Linked DNA regions of Oryzias latipes. The protein of the gene in region 3 purifies or fractionates together with the protein of the main gene of each other region. This does not show direct contact. Links are inferred from orthologs where the notes say so. Each region holds a gene or a part of one and is shown on either strand. Other genes may lie near its edges.

The links.
Region 1: the proteins of sirt6 (region 3) and usp48 purify together in Homo sapiens (affinity purification with mass spectrometry; 3 studies listed by BioGRID, with this or other methods). This does not show direct contact. The link is inferred for Oryzias latipes from reciprocal best matches to the Homo sapiens genes SIRT6 and USP48.
Region 2: the proteins of sirt6 (region 3) and g3bp1 purify together in Homo sapiens (affinity purification with mass spectrometry; 3 studies listed by BioGRID and IntAct, with this or other methods). This does not show direct contact. The link is inferred for Oryzias latipes from reciprocal best matches to the Homo sapiens genes SIRT6 and G3BP1.

The regions. Positions count from the first base shown.
Region 1 is NC_019863.2:19,936,337-19,940,442, forward strand, and holds the start of usp48 (ubiquitin carboxyl-terminal hydrolase 48), read right to left. Parts: upstream 2,833-4,106; 5' UTR 2,690-2,832; intron 2,296-2,689; 5' UTR 2,292-2,295; coding exon 2,158-2,291; intron 552-2,157; coding exon 431-551; intron 335-430; coding exon 193-334; intron 1-192.
Region 2 is NC_019868.2:28,987,234-28,991,451, forward strand, and holds the start of g3bp1 (ras GTPase-activating protein-binding protein 1), read left to right. Parts: upstream 1-1,404; 5' UTR 1,405-1,531; intron 1,532-4,218. UniProt on the Homo sapiens protein: Protein involved in various processes, such as stress granule formation and innate immunity. Plays an essential role in stress granule formation.
Region 3 is NC_019875.2:22,338,160-22,342,252, reverse strand, and holds the start of sirt6 (NAD-dependent protein deacetylase sirtuin-6), read right to left. Parts: upstream 2,833-4,093; 5' UTR 2,720-2,832; coding exon 2,654-2,719; intron 2,152-2,653; coding exon 2,024-2,151; intron 1-2,023. UniProt on the Homo sapiens protein: NAD-dependent protein deacetylase, deacylase and mono-ADP-ribosyltransferase that plays an essential role in DNA damage repair, telomere maintenance, metabolic homeostasis, inflammation, tumorigenesis and aging.

The DNA.
Region 1 (4,106 bases), on a different chromosome or scaffold from region 3:
TTTTAAAATCCAAACTCTTCCTGTTTATTCCTAACAAGCTTCTTCTTTGAGCGTGAAACTTTTCTGCATGTGACTGTGATTATTGAACCAGAAATGCGGTCATCCAACATGCGCCCTGTGAGCGTTATAGACATCTACACCTGCAGTCTTAGCCGCTGCTGTTTGTCCTGGTGTGGACGTTTTTGAACGCACCTGTGTCCGTGTCGTGCTCCTGTGCTCGTGAATTGTGGCATTGATAGAGGATCCTCCGAAGCTCCAGGTTATGGAACCACACCTGCAGGAATGTGTTGACGTAACATGTTGCGCCAAGGTTGGTCAGTCCAACAAATGTGTTCTGGAGGGGGAAGTGTCAGACACGGGCAGAGGAAGTGAAGTGAAATCCAGACAGGATAATCAAATCCTACTTATTTGCAGAGGATTACAGACAGACCTTATCTCGCCGTTCAGAATTTGGATCATCGATGTTGTGGAACGTGTTCTCATCGATCTCCCCGAGCCAGGCTTGTTCACCAATACCCACGAGGCAGTTGGGATTTCCTTTGCAATTTCTTCTGTAAATGTAAACGCAGCTGATTAATTTCCTGTTTTCACAAAACTAACCTCTATCAGGCTTTTCATCCCTCGTCTGTCCCGGAGCCAACCGGACTAGCATCCTAAGAACAATTCAAACACAACCAGAATCAAAAGACCAATTCTGTCAAAGGTTGGTGAATCAAATAAACGTAGTAACTACCAGTTAAAGTGTAGCCTTAATGGTTCAGTCAGTTTCCAAGCCACTGTTCTGTCTGATAACAAAGACAAAAATCATGTAAAAAGAAACAAAAGGTATTATAATCTCTGTAAAACTAACACTTTATAAGAGCAAATGGGAATGAAGCAAACCTAACATCTGATAACTGACTCCATGCATGGAGACCAGTAGCACCAATGGAAACTACTTTCCTGCGGGGACAATGGCAGCTTTTTGAATGTTGGTTTGCTGAATCATCATAGCAAAGACATTTAAAAGAGCAGGAAGTTAACACAGACTGGGGCAAAATGCTCAGACTTGCTGTTGTTCAATTCACAGAGATCTGCATGACTCTACAGGAATGTGTGTTTAATCTGACGTGGCACTTTTTAGCTGTGCAAACAGCAGTGTTTGTGTCCAACAATTAGCCACATTGATGTCAAAATACACCGTTTGCCAAATTACAAAAACAAAAACACCATGGCTTAATTCAACCTGGAAAAACAAAAAATCAACATAGTATTTTTAATTAAAATTTATTTTAAATGCTGTTGGTAGGACTTTAAAATAATGCAGAATTACTCAGAAAGAAAGGAATCAAGAAATAACCCCGGTAATAAATGCTAATAAAACATTTTTTGTACATACATCATTAGTGATTACTTCTTTTATTTACTGTATTTATTGTTTCATGTACAATTCACTGAGTAAAATGTCTTTTTTTTTTAAAGAAATACTAAAAAAAATATATTATTTGGACTTTTTTTTAAAGAGTTTGTTCTGTGTTTATAAATATTTATTAATTTCAATTGAAACATTTTACAGGGTTGTGTTCTTAAAGAAAAGAGAAAACAAAAGGAACAAACACAAACTGAATAAAACACCATTTGGTATTAAAAATATTTAATCCTTTCATCACTCAGTAGTATGAAGGCAATGCTTTCCAGACCTCAAAAGTCTAAGTCAAAGCCAGTCAAGGCCAGCCCTTTCCATATTTCATTTACATTGAATTTTATTTTATTTTACTTAATATTTGATTTACAAGGATAAAAACAATATCATTTTGTTTCTAATTGATACTAACTTTACATTTTTAGTAACTTAATTTTGTTTTGTTTTTAGGCTGAATACATAAGATGCATTTTCTGTGTTTCCTAAGTAGGTAGAACAATAATTAATGAACAGCCCGGTAGTTCCTAGTAGTTACCTTCCCGTTTGTTGATCATTTGAAAACAATAATAAGTATAGTTTCCAAACTAAATGGTAATTAATACATAAAAAGCTAGCTTGACAATCTAAACAGTATGTTGTGCATTTCGTTGGAAACGGTTTTCCTTTTTTGGCAGACAGTAAAGTTCACACAACTGTTGACAAAATGACAAATGCACAGACAGACACATGATGAGCAGAGTATGAGTGCTGTGTACCTGCAGGCTCCTCTTTTGCAGGCCGGGAGGTTAATGCGATATGCTAACTCGATGTGCTCCTGTGTGATTTCTTCTGGTTTCACGTGTTCCACCCAGCGCCAAGCTGCCTTTTCCAATTGTACACGAGGCGCCATTATCCTGCAATTAAACGATCCCCAGTGTTTGTGCGCTTTTACGCAAATTGGTTAATAATCGGGCGGTTTTCCAAGGATGCTAACCCAATAAGCTAGCCGGAGCTAAGCTAGTTGCCTGGTTCTCAGAGGACAAAAGTACGGCTTCCTGGCCGAACCGGCAACCTTATATTGTGCTACGCTTTACAACACAAAGTCCAGTGAACAAACGCCTAATCCAAGCCTCAAGCGAAGCTCGTACCATTGTGATTCTCGAACAAGAACATCTTTATCAAACTCACAACTTAAGTCCCCCCGCTAAGGCTAAACTGCAGCTAGCCCGACCGGCTGAGCCTCTTCCTTTTACCGCGAATTGACGACAAAATGTGAATTTATTGTGTTAAAAACAAATATGCTCGAACCTTTCATGAGTGCCGCCACTTTATCCACACACTTGTGTAATTTGGCATTTTTGTACAGCTTGTTTTAGATTTAGCGCGCTTGCGTCAATTTATAAATACATAATTTCTGCGCTCAAAATCAACACGACGTCAGACAATGACGCAGCAACGTACGCCGTTTTTTCCCCTTCCAATAACTTTATTTGTTTGTTTGTTTTTACACACAAACATGTCTGTTAACAAATACAAAAGGGGGGGGAAAGAATAATTTATAAAAGAAACAAATACGAACTAAATATTTAAAACTTTCCATACCTCTTAAAGCCAAAGAAGTCCACTTTAAAACGTTTTTAGGTTTCTGATTTCCAATGAATTGCTCAGAAAACGGTTTGGAATTCCTGAAAATTGTTGTTCTTTTTGTAATGAGGACATTGAAACAACTGAGCGTTTATTCTTTGAACGTTTTTACTCTAATGCCTCCTGGAACAATGCACATTATTGGCTTTTCCTCAAGAGTCCATGTTTAGCAGATTTTTCTATTCAGGACATAATTTTGGGGTTTTATATTAGAAAACATAAACACAGAAATGGTTTTAAAAGTTATAATTTTCCAGGGTAAATACACAAATGCTGATTCCTTAAAATCAAACCATATTTTTTCACATTTCATAAAAACTCTGCTCTTATTTTTCATCTATAAACTTCATGGAATATAAACCTGCCGTGAAACTCCAAAGTATCATAAATAAATTACTGCTTTTTGATAACCCATAAGATTATGATCATTATAATGCCCATGTAACCCCTTTTTTATTTTAATCTTATTTAATGTAAGTTTGTATTTTTTGTGTTATCGTATATTCTTTTACTTAATTTTATAATTGTTGTTCATGTTTTTATGTGCCCATTCTAATTTTAATTTGATGAACACCTTGTACAACTGCCACACATATTGTAACCCCCAAGTTTTTCTTTTCAATTAAAAAAGAAAAAAATGTTACTTTTTTTTAAAGTCAACAGTCCATTATGTCTTAAATGTTTGTCTCAGGTTTAAAAAAGTGTTTTTTTCGTTGAAAAGCAATTGTAAACACAAATTGAATATGGTGGTACTCCGGCATATATTTGTATATATTGTATATATCATATATTGTCACTGCACAATTAAAACAGTACATTTCTAAACTCTCAACTGTAAATGCCTTGTGCAATGTTTGGTTAGTTTGTGACAGCTATTAAAATATGTAGAATTATATGTTTATGTTACATATTATTCTTTTGACTGATTAGACCTATCTTTACGTGGTAATGGACACAAAAGCAAATTTTCACAGCAAGATTTTCTTTCTTTTTTTTTACATGAAACATTGATATTCCGTTTCAGAATTACTAATCGACAACATAATGATATTTACAAAACTCACTCACAAATGTTTGGCCA
Region 2 (4,218 bases), on a different chromosome or scaffold from region 3:
CCAATGTCTCCATGTTTACCTGCAGCAGCTGCTGCTAAGCGTCTCAGGATTTCCCCCGGGATCTCGTTTCCTGACAGAACTCAACACACATGATGGATCGTGACCCATTTAAAACTCAGACGAAAGAACATCCAGTTAACTGAACATCGTGTCTGTCAGCCTCCATCTTATCTGTTAAACTGAAACCGTTGTTTGCACATTTCCCAGCCTCTTTTTTTAAATTTACCACCAGCTTCAATTATCTGCAGACGGTTCAGCATTTAAGCCAAAGCCACCACATCCATCATCTGCGTCTGAGTGCTGCCTGATTCTGTTTGCTGTCTGTAGGAGCTGTGCAACATCTCAACCAGTCTAACCTTCAATGTTAGGAGCTCCGGCATTCCTTCCCCCATTCAAGACCCAACACTCCAGGTTTTATTCGTTTTCACAAATAAACCCCATGTGTGTTTTTCCCCCATCATTTGAAGAGTATAAATGTTTAAAACGTCTTCCAAACAGTGGGAAAAGTAACCTTTTAGGGCTGCAGCAAACCTGTGCCGAACATGCAGTCCTCTCAGAGCAAACGGCATCCGGCAGCGACCGCTCACAGCTGCTCGTGGTCCCCTGGGAGACGGCAGAGGGAGAGACGCAGCACCCAGTTACCATCTGTACCTGCTCATCCAGCCCTCAGCAGCAAGAATGCACAGCGGCGTGAACCCAGCGTGCCCCAGCAGGAAAAACTCCCCCTGACTCTGACAGAGGAAACAACGGAAGACATCTGTAATTTAATATCAGCTCTTTTTTTTTTTTAAGCTGATGTCTCTGTGCTGACATCATGACAGCCATATTGTGGTTTGAGGCTCAAACATCTGCAGCAGTTTAGTCATGGGATCAGTAGCTCTATGTGTTTAGTTTGTCTTTTTAAAAGATGACTAAAAAGATGAACTTTTCTTTTTCTTTAGTGCACTACACGTTTTTCTTTAGTGCACTACAGGAGCAGACATTTTTCCAGTCTGCTCTGACTGTCTGCAGTCATTTCAGTCTCAATGGCGTTACATTTACCCACCTGCTTATTTTAAAGCTAAAGCACTCTCGCATTCGAACCCCTTTGATTGATGACGGTGGATAATTCTGGATGAAAAATTCACGGCGACCTAAAATCACTGATTCTGAACGCATTTGTCGCCTCCACGCGGTGGACAGCCGCTGGTGCACATCTGTGTAGAGAATCTGCCGGGATACGCCTGTCGGTATAACCATCGCACCCTCTGCCACCGCCGCGCGGTGGTTGGCTCCCTTGGAATAGAGGGAGCTTCGCGATTGGCTGGATGCGCGGGAGGCTTGCCATTCTCTCACCCCATTGGTCAGCGGGTCGTGGATGCGTCATTTCATTGGCTGAAGCTTCTTTATACGGAGGGACGTCAGATTTGGCTGCGGAGGTGAAACCGGTACCCGGGCTCTACAGCACGCCGCGAAGCCGCGCCAGCGCCTCGTCGAAGTCCATAGATTAAAAAATATATTTATACATTTTCCAAAAACTATTGACTCATTGGTAAGTTTTAATGTCAAACCTACTGTTTGAATCCAGGCAGAAAGTGAAACTAGAATGAAAATAGGATTAACGTGGTGGCTCATCCGGGCTCCATCTACATCCTGATGTTAGCTTCCTTTGACATTGTCGCGCGGTCTATAGACGGACGCGCTGAAATCCGATTTAAACGTTTATACTTGCTTTTTAATCGCGATCAGAAGTCCGGAATGGGTTTTTTCCGACATATGTATGAAATTGTTGCTGTTACAAATCACCCACGACGGCTTGGTTTTACTCTGAGCTGCAGGAATTAGCCGCAGCCCTCGTTAGCACACCCCCCCCCCCCTCTGGTTTTTCCAGCTTTCTTTCCTTATTTTTCGTGGGGTAAATTCACCTTTTCCCTAAACAGAGTTAGCTTCGTTTCTACGCGTCTTTGGATGTTAAAAGCGTCATTTTGTGGCCTCGGCGTCGGGATCGGAGCGTGGACGAGCACCGCCCGGGACACGTGCTGGGGCTGCTGAGCGCCCCCCCCCCCCCCCCCCCCCCCCGTCAGAATTCGTCTTTTGGGGTTGGTGGGCCCGTCCAGCTGTCCCGGATTAGATCGGAATGGACCAGGACAGCGCACGACACGTGAATCCCGGTTAAATTTGTCAAGGCCTCGGGGGCGCGTGTCAGCGCGGTCCCGGAAAGAGAGCGCGCGGGTCGGCCGTTTCCGTCGCCGTTCCCGCGGCGTGGTCTTTGTCTGCGGGCCGCGCGTGCAGATCTCCACGCACTTCTGCGGAAGCACGTTAAATGATTGGTCCCGTCTATGTTAGGCCCCTCGCGGATCAGACCCGCGTGACTGCGGGAGCTCCCGGGCCGTTCCGTGTTAAAAATGGCAGATGGCTGTTGGCCGTGAGAACAGATGTCAAAGTGGCTCGTGGCCTTCTGGGCTCAGAGCTTCACCTTTCCCTTCCAGGTCCTCCAAGCCAACAGTTTCCGGTTCTGTCAGCAGAACCTCTGGTGTATTTGAACCCAGATCCGCTTTATGGTGCTGAACTGAAGTGGGAAGAGAAGAATGTGCGTCTGTGGCGGCACGTCTGCTCCCTGAACCGTCCCTCCTGGTTTGTCCGTGAAACCCACTTGACAGAATAGAAGATCAACATCTTCTGATTGGCTGATCCCTCCTGATCCAGGATCATGGCCATGTGCAAAACATCAGGAATATCCTGGAAACCCGGAAGAACCCGTCACTGCCGGGGGGGTCAAACCCTGTAGAATCGTGAAAGCGCTTCCAGGTTCAAGTGGGGATGTATTAAACCCAAAGAACTGTTCAATTAGAGAATCCGGTTTCATCAGGGCAAGATGATCTAATCCACTTGCAGATGAACTCTGGTGTGGTTCACTTCAGTGTAAATGCAAACTGATCGTCCTCTGATTATGGAGAGGCAGGAAGGTTCACTTCTGGCTCAAACCCATTGAAGGAATTCCAGTCGCCTTCTTGTTGTCTTTTTGTGAAACGGACGGCGCCATGTTGGAGGCAGACGTAGAGTTGATCTGAATTGATCGGTGTTTCTATGGCAACCACTCTAAGTGTCAGACTCCAGGCCTCGTTGGCCTGTGTCCCACATGTCTTCCCATCAACTTGAAATTGAAGCTCCTTATTGGCTAAACACACCTGATTTCTGAAAAACCTGCTGGATAACGGCCCTTAAGGCCTGCAGTCTGACTCCAATCAGGAGTGAGCTTGTTGGAAGGCCACGCCCCCACCCATGAAAGCAGGCTTCTTTGGTTTGTGGTTTTGGGATCCCATTTGAAAGATCCTGGTCCATCCTCCATAACATGTAGAAATTCTGGTGACACTTTTCTTTTAGTGAGAAAATAACGACACATTTCTGCTATCTGGTACACATGTATTACATTTATAGGCTTTTTCTACAGAGGAGGATTTCTCTCTTTGGTGTTGAAATTTGCTGATTCAGACTGCGGCTGCTGGTTGCATGATGCTGGAGGATGGTCTCTAACCTCATTCCACATCAGACGGGGGGGGGGGGGGGGGGGGGCATTGTTACTGCACTCGTCCCCTTCCTGGGAAATCATGGCTAATGCTCGCGTAAACAAGAATAAATGCCTCATCTGCAATACTTAAACATTTTTCTTATTTTCTATTCAACGGTTGCCATGGCGTCCAAATACACAATCTGAAACATCTGGGGGGGGGTTTCCCCCTCGTGTTGTGGACCTGGAGCCGTTTCCTGGATCCGAAGTGACTTCAGAACCGTCGCTCACTCAGTCACAGGTTTCGGTTGGTGTGACATTGATCACTCTGGATGAACGTCAGCGATGAAATTCTTTTGTTCTGCTACCTTTGCTAATAAAGGTTTGTTTGAAATTCTCTACTACATTTGAGTGGGAAGCTCGTGTTGCACCTTTTTTCAGAAGTTTCCCCACATTTGGTTGATTAGGGTTTTGTAAGTTGTCGCCAGAGCAACAGAAACATTAGCTAAAGATGAGTCATTTTGCAGCAGTTGTTTAACTTTCCATTTCACGCTCGCTTTGTCCACCCAACGCTTGTTGCCCCCATGCTGCCGTTGGTTCTTGTGGGCGTGGCAGACATCAGCTGTGAACCATGAGATTCTTTTTAGAGGTTCATTGGTCGCTGGGGAGGGCTGTGGGGCTCCCCCCCGCCTGGATAACCACCGCAGCTCAGACGCTCCCTTCTGTTCTTT
Region 3 (4,093 bases):
ACAACAAAAATAACAAGAGTACCAGTAATAGAAAAAAAAAACTCTGACTATTTTAATATTTGCATTGTTTTAAGTGTCTTACAATAGTTAACAAAAGAGCAAAGTTAGTTGATTAAAGTTTCTTCCCACGTTGAGCCCTAAAAATGCATTGAGTTTTCCTTTTTATTCCACTTGTTTATCATGCCTGAATAAATGAAATAAGAGTCATTACCATTTGTTTTTAGAGCTGATGAGTTGAGTCGTGTGTGTTGGACCTTTTAGGACAGGGGTTCCCAAAGACAAACATCCTATTTCAATAACAAAAGTATCTTTTTTGTTCATGTTTTTAATATTGCTACTTATCCTAATATTAGATTTAAGAATGAAATAAATTAAATGAAATAAATCAATTAGTTTGATATTGGAAAATACCATTTGGATTGAGGCAAATGTGAGTTTATTTTACTATACCGTAAAAAGTGATCAAGTGTAATCACCATGGACAACACACATGTGATGGCAGCAAAAACCGATCAGTGCATCATTCCAGTTCAATGCATGGAAACACTTTGAGTTTTGCCATGTCATGTGACTATACAGTAGAATGTTCTAGTAATGTTCTGTTTGTATTATTTTGATGTAGATAAACAACAGTGGGCTGAACTTTGTTTGCACACATATTTAATTTACACTTGATTATCTTGCAAGAAATACAAGGAATCTGGAAAACTTCACCTGCACTGTTCAGTACCAGGTATTTATCTCTGAGTCTCACTGGTTGAATTTTTGGCTTAAGATCGATTTTAGGTCAGTGAATCGGACTATTTAAAATGAACCTATATCAACTATGAATCAAATCAGCAACCACAAATTAGGATACGAATCAAATAGTTACAGTGGAACTATGGTCATAGCTGTTGTTGTTGTCATCTAAAATGGAAATAAAAAATGGTGTCATGTTAATTTCATTTATGTTTTTTTATTTACTAACATTCTAGTTTGTCTGTTAAGATTAATCATGAATATTGATCTATTCCAGCCTGTCTTCAGTTATATGTGTATATTTTGGAAAGGGTCTATTTGCACGTCATTTTCGAAATAAGTGCGGCCAGCCCTGGGCTTTTTTTCTTGGCCACACAGACCTAGAACAGGGGTTAAGGTTAGGATTACAGTTGTGGGTTGGGTTAAACCACCAAATAGCTCCTGAGCGCGGCTGTTTTTGCACCTCACCGCTCCTCCAGGAGATGGATCAAAGGCAGAGAACATATTTTACACACCTAGGTGCATGACAGATAATGGGACTGTAACTTTAAGTTTCATTTTAAACACCTGGGGCCAACAACAAAATGCAACCTTGGACGCACTTAACCCTTGTGCTATCCTACGGGGTCAAGATGACCATTGACATGTTATCCCTACCGTGACAAAGGTGAATAAAAGTGGAAAGATTTCATGTAATCCATGGACACCGGAGAAGACCACAAATCATTGAAGAAAAAAAGGTTCAGCGCACTGTCTAGTGGGTCTAGACTCTAGATGACCCAACTCCCAATGTCAAAGTGCCTAGGATAGCACAAGGGTTAAAAGGCACCATTATGTATCTTGGCTGCAAGCATTACGTGTGGCCAACATAAATTTCCATAACTTTTTGTGCTTGTCACATAATCGTGTGTGGATAACATCAACCTTTTTTTATGTACACATCATGTACGATTCGGTGGAGAAATTAGTTTAAAAAATGTTTTAACTATGATTTTAATAGGCTCATTTAATGAATGTTTAGAGTTTTTTTTTTAATGTAGTTTATGTAACTTTTTAGGGAATTTTAGGATCAAACAAGTAAAATAGTTGGACATGCTCCCAAAGAAAAATATAGATATTTAGATAGATTTGTTTGTGTGCAAAAGAATCAATATTATTCTGATTAACAGATGCGCTTCCTGTCATATAAAATACATATCCTATGTTTGCCTTTGTCTGATGTTGGCATTAGCAGCCAAATGTGGCGTACAAAAACAGAATTATCATTAGAATCGTGTCTCACCTGAAGTCAGGGATGCCGGCTGAGGTGCTGATGCCAGCTCCAGTGTGGACGACCAGGTACTGAGATTCTTTAACCAACTCAGCAAGAGTCTGCACCTTCTCCTTCAGCTCTTCAGGACTGTCAAACTTCTGCCAGAAGACACAAACAAGTCCTTTTAGGAATGAGCACAAGCAATCATCCATGCATGTGTTGCTAAGATTGTTGGTCCCGAGATATGAATTCATGAATAGCTTCACGCTTTTATCTATTTATGTGACACGTTCGGCGGACAAAGCCATAGCTGAACGTTAGTACAGATTAGTAAAAGGCTGCTTTAAATCTATTATGAAGGAAAACAACAACTTTGCACCCATCAAATTTTGTGGATATATATGATACAACATCCCAACAAGAATAACTATATTTGAAACAATATAATTTATTATCTTGTTAAACCAGAGCTGGAATTTAAACTCACTAGAACGAATAAAAAAAATGTAAAGAGAGATTTTCAAACAAGGGGCTGGTCCTTAGCAAGTGTTTTGTTAGATAAAAGAGCAGAAGGATCACAACAGCAGGACAAAAACATCGCTCATGATGAGCTGCTAGCTCATTTAGCATGAAAAGCTCTTTAATGTAGTCAAAATTTACCTCAGGAAGGCCGCAGACCCCCTTATCTGCGTAAGGTGACAATCCGGCAGCATAATTTACTGACATGACTCTGGTAACTGTTGTCTTTGTTGTTATTTTCTGTTTGAAAAACAGTCCCAAACCCGAGTTTTAGGTTTGAACTGCGGCGTTTGGATGACGACATCAATGTGCGCCGGCATGTGATGCATTCAGAAACCATAGGGAACATCATTGATACGATTCACACCATACAGACACAGACTTAAAATAGTTTATTTTAGAATATGAATAAGTTTGAGTTTTGCATTCTTACATCTACATAAATAATAAAAAAGTAATAAATAAAAGATAAAGACTGACATGTTTGGTAGTTCAAAATTCCTATTTCCCTCCAACCTCTTGAACACACATGTTCAAGTTACTCTTTATAATTGAATTTTAAGGTATTATCAAAAGTTAAATAGCATGAGCAAACTAAATGCTGTTGTCTTCAGCTGGAACACTTTAAATGACTTCCTTAAAATAACAAAGCACAACAAAAAATTGGATTTCCGTTATGTGCAGTCATTCCAAGCACTTCAATGAATGTTTCTTTGAAATAAATCTTTATTTTAAATAGCTGGGGGGGAAAAAAGAGACATGTGAATAAAACACTTTAATCATTCATACAGCTACATCTGCATATTGGAAATTAATTGCTTGCCTCAACAGTTGTTTCAAATGAATTTTTATCCTGAGAAATTTAATTTATTTACTAAACTTACTTCAGACATTAAAGTTATCAATACTGCAGATTGGAAAAAAACTAAATCAAAAAACACCATCCATACTCTCAGAAAAACACCAACACCCGTCCAGAATCACCCAACAAAACAGAGAAGAAAATTAAAATAAAGAGGATCATTATTTCTTAACATTTTCATTTGCGGCGCAGAAAAACGTCAAGAATCTAGAATCAGACTACGTGCATGATTTTACCTAATAATCTCACAGGTGACACCATTCAGGTAAACTATGAAGGAATTTAAAAGAAAAATAAATTATAATGAATTTCAACCAAACCAACAGAACTACATCATTTTTCATAGGTTTTGGAGTCTTTATAATGCTGCTTTAGCTCTTTGGGTCCATCAGGTGTTTCGGAGTGATACTGTGTTTACAACTGGATGTCTTTAAAATAGCAATCAAGTATTTTGACTACGATTCAAACCTTTACTCCAAGTATGATTAGTTAACAAAACAATTGTTGCTTTTTCAAAAACGGCCCCACACTTCGAGAGCTCAAAAACATTTCAAATCCCCCACCAACTCAAACACTTTTCAATCTCCCCTTAATTCGAGGTTGTTTAAAAAAAAAAAAAAAAAGACACACCCAGAGTGACAGAGAAACACATTCAACACTAAACCAGAAAAAAACCACAAGATCAAAAATGTCCACGTGGTATGGACCCCGCTGACGTG